Cricetulus griseus: one gene and its partner. The protein of the gene in region 2 purifies or fractionates together with the protein of the main gene of each other region. This does not show direct contact. Links are inferred from orthologs where the notes say so. Each region holds a gene or a part of one and is shown on either strand. Other genes may lie near its edges.

Evidence for each region.
Region 1: the proteins of Asxl1 (region 2) and Ogt purify together in Homo sapiens (affinity purification with mass spectrometry; 3 studies listed by BioGRID and IntAct, with this or other methods). This does not show direct contact. The link is inferred for Cricetulus griseus from reciprocal best matches to the Homo sapiens genes ASXL1 and OGT.

Annotation. Positions count from the first base shown.
Region 1 is NC_048604.1:68,611,924-68,615,423, reverse strand, and holds part of Ogt (UDP-N-acetylglucosamine--peptide N-acetylglucosaminyltransferase 110 kDa subunit), read left to right. Parts: intron 1-791; coding exon 792-950; intron 951-1,052; coding exon 1,053-1,142; intron 1,143-3,500. UniProt on the Homo sapiens protein: Catalyzes the transfer of a single N-acetylglucosamine from UDP-GlcNAc to a serine or threonine residue in cytoplasmic and nuclear proteins resulting in their modification with a beta-linked N-acetylglucosamine (O-GlcNAc).
Region 2 is NC_048599.1:26,660,312-26,664,344, reverse strand, and holds the start of Asxl1 (polycomb group protein ASXL1), read left to right. Parts: upstream 1-1,233; 5' UTR 1,234-1,790; coding exon 1,791-1,847; intron 1,848-4,033.

The DNA.
Region 1 (3,500 bases), on a different chromosome or scaffold from region 2:
ATTCACATTTCTTCACTTAGAAGTCTGTTCAGGCTGTTTCATAAGTCTCAGAACAGGTGAGGTATGAAGCAACCATCATACAGCTGCTCACCTTCCTTGGGGCCACGTGAATTCAATGAAGTTTACTGTCCAGATTTTTTCATAGTTAGGGGTTTATATGATTTTAGGTTTCTATCTTCATTTATTATACTTAATCGTTTAAAAGAGAGCGTCTTATGTATACCAGATTGGCCTTAAACTCTCTTTGTAACTGAGGATTACCTCGAACCTCTGATTCCACGTCCCAGTTGGAGGGATCGCAGGAGTGCACCAACCAGTCCATTTATTTTGTCTCACTATGTCACACTGGCTGGCCTGGAACTCAGTATGTAGACCAGGCTGCCTTCAAACTCAGAGATCCATATGTCTCACTTGCTGATGATTGGGATCAATGAAGGGCACCATCAAGTCTGCTTTTTATGTAGTTCTGGGGATGGAACCCTTATGGCTTTATGCATATTAGGCAAAACACACTACAAAGTGAGCTATATCACCAGCCCCCGTTATCAGGTTTTTTGTTTGTTTGTTTTTTTGAGACAGGGTTTCTCTGTGTAGCTTTGGAGCCTATCCAGGCACTCACTCTGTAGACCAGGCTGGCCTGGAACTCACAGAGATCTGCATTCCTCTGCCTCCCAAGTGCTGGGATTAAAGACCTGCACCACTGACGCCCTACATTAGTTTTTTTTTTTTTTTTTAAGATAAGATTTACACAAGACTTGACTTTACTAATGAACATTGTATTCTGTCGGTAGATTAATGTCCTTCATAAACCACCATATGAACATCCAAAAGACTTGAAACTCAGTGATGGACGATTGCGTGTGGGATATGTGAGTTCTGACTTTGGGAACCACCCTACTTCTCACCTTATGCAGTCTATTCCAGGCATGCACAATCCTGATAAGTTTGAGGTAAGCATAGTTTTTGGTGGCTTTACTCTGTCATTGGTATTAAGCTCACTGTCTTGAGAAGGTTGGAGCCAAGGTTATTAAGTACACCCTCCTGCCTTTCAGGTGTTCTGCTATGCCCTGAGCCCAGATGACGGTACAAACTTCCGAGTGAAGGTGATGGCAGAAGCCAATCATTTCATTGATCTTTCTCAGGTAGGCAAAACACTGTCCCTTTTTCTAAGGTCTTAAGATTTCATACTAAACAAAGTATGTGTTTGGTATAGTATGTTGCTGTGTGCATGTATGAGGACAGGTGCCCAAGGAGGCCAGAACAGAGTGTCAGATCTCCCAAACTTGGAGTTACAGAAGGTATTACATGGGTGCTGGGAGCAAATGCAGGTCCTCTGCAAACACAGCAAGTACCTTTATCTCTCCAGTTTCTAAATTTTGGATAAATTTGAAAAACAAACTATTGATAGAGTGGTGTTTTTTGTATGAGGAATTGATGGAGGGCCTCATACTTCTACGATTGTAGTTTTTGATGGGCATTAAACAGGAGAAACTACTGTATGTGGGCAGTTTGTCCTTATTTCTTTGGTCATTTACATTTATATTTGGCATGATTTTTAAGTTGCACATAAAATAGAAATGTGGTATAACTATTTGATGTATAACTTTTCTGGGCATTGAGCCTGCACTCAACAAGATGCTTTTTTGTTTGTTTTTTGAGACGGGATTACTCTGTAGCTTTGGAGCCTGTCCTGGAATTCACTCTGTACACAAGGCTGGCTTCTAACTTACAGATAGATATTCACCGGCCTCTGCCTCCCAAGTGCTGGGATTAAAGGCGTACGCCACCACCACCCAGCAAGATAAGATAATATTGAACAAAGTCAAGAAGGGTAATAGTAGTGTCAAAGATTTCTTTCAAAAGCTAGCCTTGGCTAAACAGCTAGTTTAAGACCAGCCTAGGCTACATGAGACCCCATCTCATTAAAAAAAATGTAGCAGCACAAAAGCCCATCTATTTCTGAGTTAAAGCATGCACTACAATGCCTCTTCCCTTCAATTTTTTTTTTTCCGAACCACAATCCTTCCTCCTCCCCATAATTATTTTCATTTTTGCTTTTTTCAAGACAGGGCTTCTCTATAACAGCTCTGTGGCTGTCCTGGAACTTACATAGATCCTCCTGCCTTTGCCTCCTGAGTCCTTGGATTAAAGGCCACCACTGCCTGGCTTTACATTTTTTTGATAGATTTAATCTGTATGAGTGTTATGCTTGTGTATATGTGCACCACGTATGTACATCATGTATGTGCTGGTGCTTTTGGAGGTCAGCAGTTGGATGCCCTGGAACTCGATTTGCATACAGATGGTTGTTAATTACCATATGGGTGAGGACTTCTACATGTAGTCCCTTCAAGAGCAACAGCAAGTACTCTTGACCACCAAGCCATCTCTAGCCCTGCACCCCTTTTTGTGACAGGATCTCACTAGGCAGTACTCTTCAGTTGCTAGGATTATAGGTACATGCCACCCTAGTTTTTTCTATTTTTGGTATATGTACATGTACATGTGAATGTGGTATATGTCATAGTGTGCACATGTAGGTGAACTTGCAGGTTCACACGCTGGTCTAGGTAGGGCGTTGGATTGTTTTTTTAAGAAGCAGGCTTTTTAAAAGATTTATTATGTATACAGTGTTCTGCCTGCATGCATGCTTGCATGGCAGAAGAGGGCACCAGATCTCATTAGAGATGGTTGTGAGCCACCATGTGTTTGCTGGGAATTGAACTCAAGACCTATGGAAGAACAGCACGTGTTCTTAACCTCTGAGCCATCTCTCCAGCCTTGTTTTTGTTTGTTTGTTTGTTTGTTTGTTTGTTTTGAGACAGGGCATGTTCTCTACATAACCCTGGCTATTCTGTAGTCAACTAAACTCACTGAGACCTACCTGTCTCTGCCTCCCAAATTGTGGGATTAAAGGTTTGTGCCACCAGACCCAGCCAACTGTGGAGATCTTGCTCTATCACTCTCTGCCTTATTTTCTCAAGACCAGGTCTCTCACTGAACCTGGCTCATCTTCCTGTCTTTAACCCCCACAGACCTGAGGTTCTAGGTACACATGTGTGGTCACATCTGCCTTTTTATGTGGATGCTGGAATCCAAATTTAGGTCCTCTTGCTTGCATAGCAAGCACTCTTATCACTTGAGTCATCTCTAATCCTCTATATTATTTCCCATTGAGATCCTGTGTAATTGATTGATCGCCGGCTGATTGCAAACTCATGTTTTTTGGTTGTTTGTTTGTTTTTTGTTTTTTTGAGACATGGTTTCTCGGTGTGCTTTGGAGGTTGTCCTGGAACTTGCTCTCTAGACCAGGCTGGCCTGGAACTCACAGAGATCCACCTGCCTCTGCCTCCGAGTGCACAAACTCATGATTTTGTCTCAGATTTTCTGAGTGTTTGGCTTTAAGGCTTGTAACAATGTGCTTGGCCTCTTCTTCATTTTTTAAAAACACATTTCAAATACTAGCTCCTTTCTGTAACCCTGTTGCTAATCCATCAAAT
Region 2 (4,033 bases):
AGCACTGGCTGCCTGTGTTCTGATACCATAGAGTATAGAGAGTTTCCTCATCCACAGAAATCGCTTTTTTACAGTTTTTGTTATTTTTAATGGACCATTAATGCAGTTCAAGATAGACTGTAGAAATGTTTCTGGACATCGATCCAACAAATGCACAGAGAAAAATACTTCATGTTCTGGGTGCTCCAAACCTCATCCTATTTCACACCGGCAATCACTGTGAGCATGTAATAACAGCTATCATTTATTCCATGCCAGAAGCCAAATCACACGAACCTCATAATACGAGGATCCTCCACATTCTCCCCGCCCGGATCTTGTAGGCAGTCCATGCTAATTTGTACCCCATGTTGTGGGATACTATGCTAACACAGGTCAAACTGAGGCTCAGAGGGGTTAAGAGGAGTCACGGAGTGGCAGCTAGTTTTCTAAATCTAGATTCGGTTGATACTAGGACTTGACTTCTCTCCAGGGTACTGCCTTTAAAATAACACTCAGGTGCATTTTCATCTACATGGCCCTTAAGTCTTTATCTACCACCGCATTACCAAATTCACCTGACAGCAATTCTACTGTCGACTGCAGGTGCACCCTCGGCAAATACATAGCGGTATGAAAGTACAAGAGGAAATGGGTAATCGTCTAGGTCGGTCAATCGAGAAATAACCGTTGTACTGATATGAATGTCTCTTTACTTATTACTGTGCGCCTGTTGAGTCATTTAAGGGCGGACCAAAAGGGAAAGCCCTGCTCCTTACCCACCAGAAGTGCAGCAGAGAAGCGGTCATGCAGGGGGAGGCCCAAAGTGGAAGCAGGGTAGCGAGTGGATTACCAACTCTGGATCCTCTCCCTCCCTGGACACCCGGCCCTAGCACCCGAAAGAAAGGCTCGCAACGGGTTAAACGCGGCCAGGGGGAATCCAGCCACCGCCCCTTCCCAGCAACACCTCCCAGAAACCCTCAGGGCTCCGCTAGTTCCCGAACCTCGCGAGACCCCGCCCCATCCTTTCCTGACCGATTTCCCGCCCCCTTCTCTACCGAGCTCGGAACGCAGCAGGGTACGGAAGAGAGTGGGCGGAAAACACGTTCCCGGAGCACGCCGGGAGATGTGGTCCAAGCACTCCAGGCAGCCATTTTCTTCCGGAGCGGGGGAGGCCGAGGAGCTAGTAAGGACTACAAATCCCAGCTACCCTTTCGGTTTGTTTTTGTTCAAAAAAAAAAAAAAAACCCACACTCCCCCTCCTCACTCTTCCCTCTCACACACGCGGACACACACATACACACACACACACACACACCCACGGCTGACACACACGGACCCGGGCGTCGAAGGGAAAGCTGCGTCTTGCCATCCCGGCTCGCCACCAGTCCGGTCTCGGTTTCCCAGCAGCGCGGGAAAGCGGAGGCCCGAGCCGTGACCTCTGACCCCGTGGTTATGCGGAGCCGCCGCATTCCTTAGCCATCGCGGGGCTGCTGCCTCTGCCGCCGCCGCTGCCGCCGCCGCCGCCGCCGCCGCCACCACCGCCGCCGCCACCGTGGGCGACTGACGCAGCGCGGGCGCGTGGAGCCGCCGCCCCTCCCCCACCGCCCCTCGCGCCGGGTCTCGCGCCAGCCGGTCCCGGTGCGCCCGCCGCCCTCTCCGGCCGCACCCGAGTCCTCGCACGCGCCGCCGCCACGCGCCCCCCGCCGCTGCCGCCTCCACCCGAGCCCCGCGCCGCCACGCCCCGACCCGCCCGCCGGAGGTCCCGCGTGGAGCCGCCGCCGACGCCACCGCCGCGGAGGAGGAGGAGGATGAAGGACAAACAGAAGAGGAAGAAGGAGCGCACGTGGGCCGAGGCCGCGCGCCTGGTGAGGCGAGCGCCCGGGGGGCCGCGGCGGGGGGTCTGGGGGTGGGCTCCCGCGGCTCCCGGGGCGGGGGAGGGGCGAGGCCCTGCCCCACCGCAGCAGGGGGCGGGGCCGGCCGAGCACCGAGGTCCCCGGCCGCCCGGCCGGTGGGCTGCGGCGCCTTTTTCTGCACACACCGCCTTCCCCCCCCCCGTGAATTCCTGCGGAGGGGCGAGCTGGCGAGCGGCTCCTCCCCTCCGGGCGCCCGGGCTTCTGTCTCCCCTCCCCCACGCTGGCAGCGGCAGGGGGTCCCGGGAAGCGCCGTTTATTCATCTGCGGGGAGTTAGGTTTCCGGGAAGGGTCGGAAGTGCTTCCCTGACTACTTCGTGGGCAGTGGAGTGTGGGTCACTGGACACCGCGGGGGTGGGACGCCTCCCCTGGTTTCAAGGACACGAGAAGCGTTTAGAGTGTGGGCAATTTAAACCAGGTGTGTGTCGGGAAGCAATTGCTAAGGACCAATCTCGTCCCTGAGCAGAGTGGTTCTCAAAGTTGAGTGCCCAGTGGGAGTATACCTAGGGACTTTTGTTCAAAACGCTGTTTCTAGGACTCATTTGAAACACACTGAACCCGAGATTCTGCTTAGAAACAGTACTTTAGCCAGCTGATTAAGGGATTATTATGCAGGTGGCCCGTGGACATTGCAATCACACTGAACCGCTGTGACTGCACTAGAGGTAGGCACTTTGCAGAGGAACTGAATACACTTTGCAAAGAATTTATGTTCATACAGAGGCTCTTGTTAAGAGGGTTTAGCAAGAAAAAAAAAAAAAGTAAATTGATTGCTTGAACTTGAGCTAGCTGCCTGCCCAGAGTGTTTGTGAACTCGTGAGACCACTTCCTTTTGGTTATATAAAGCCAAAAGACTTGAGGCATGTTCTTATAAAATATTGCTGATGACAATCCTAATGGGATGTTACTTCCTCAGTCGCCACAGTGCAAGGTTATGGTGCATCCTACTTGTCTGTTGACGCCCTGTATTTTATATGTAATTGTTATAATTCAGTTTTAATGATGGAGTGAAGCTTTCTTATTGTCCCTTTTACTGAAAAGTGAGTTCTGCTTCAAAAGTGTCAGAGGTTGATAAAAATCTAGAGTGCAACCTTGTCTTTTCTTGGACTCATGAAAGCCAGTTATTGATTTAACCAGGCTGTTTGAGCTACCAGAGAATTTCCACTGGCGTTCCTGATCATCTTCTCTTGTTACCCTGGGAACAGTAACGGGGATTGTTTGTGTGAAGGTTGTAGTTCGGTTTATTTTTTTTTTTCTGGCATATGAAAATTGAAACTCCTTGGTGGTGTTTTTGCCCCCCCCTTCTGTGATTCAATCAAAAACTAGAACATTTGGAAAAAGCTGAAATATAAAGCATGTTTTATTTTGCCATGGAGGTTGTTGAGTCTTGACTGTTCATTGAAATTTTGAGTTTCTGTGTGCAGGTGTTTATGATTCTGGGCACCCAAAGAAAATTTGCTTGCCCAGAACCCTACTTGTTAGAGGTAGGTGAAAGTACTTTCAAATCCCGTGTTATTTGTGTCCTGGCAATTCTAAAAAATTTCTCATCTCAAAGCTCCTTTGATTCTTATTAGTTGGACAGCTCTAGCAATTTGGAATTGCTTTTATTTTAAGCCTCTTTAGGTTCTTAAATTTACTGTGGTTTGAATTCCATGGTTAAGGTTGCTATTTCTATTTTATCATTGGCTCACCTTCAAGCTCAATTATCTTAAGTAAGTTATTTCTCTTTTTTTTCTTTGACTCTTCAGTTAAAAATAGTAATCCGAACAGGAATTTCTTTTGTGTTGTACATTTGAAAGAGGACTTGTGGGAACGCCGTATGCAATTTTGCATATCTTTTATGTGGTTTTGTGTTTTAGAATTTTCTGTGTCTTTGTGGGGGTGAGAGGGAGACTTGAGTCTTCTTCCCATTTAAAAAAAAGTCTTGTCCTACTGAGTGCTGGGGAATTTATTAGCTTCTACTGCATAGGGAACACCTGGCCAGCAGTGAGTGACAGTGCCAGGGCTGTTCATTTTGTAACAGAATTATTATTAACTACTTTTGGACAATTGAATTCAGTGTTTGTGGTGACCACATACATTAGTCAGGTGGAAGGTTCTAATTGCTCCTGGCCCCTCTCAGATTGGCAAGAAGATAATAA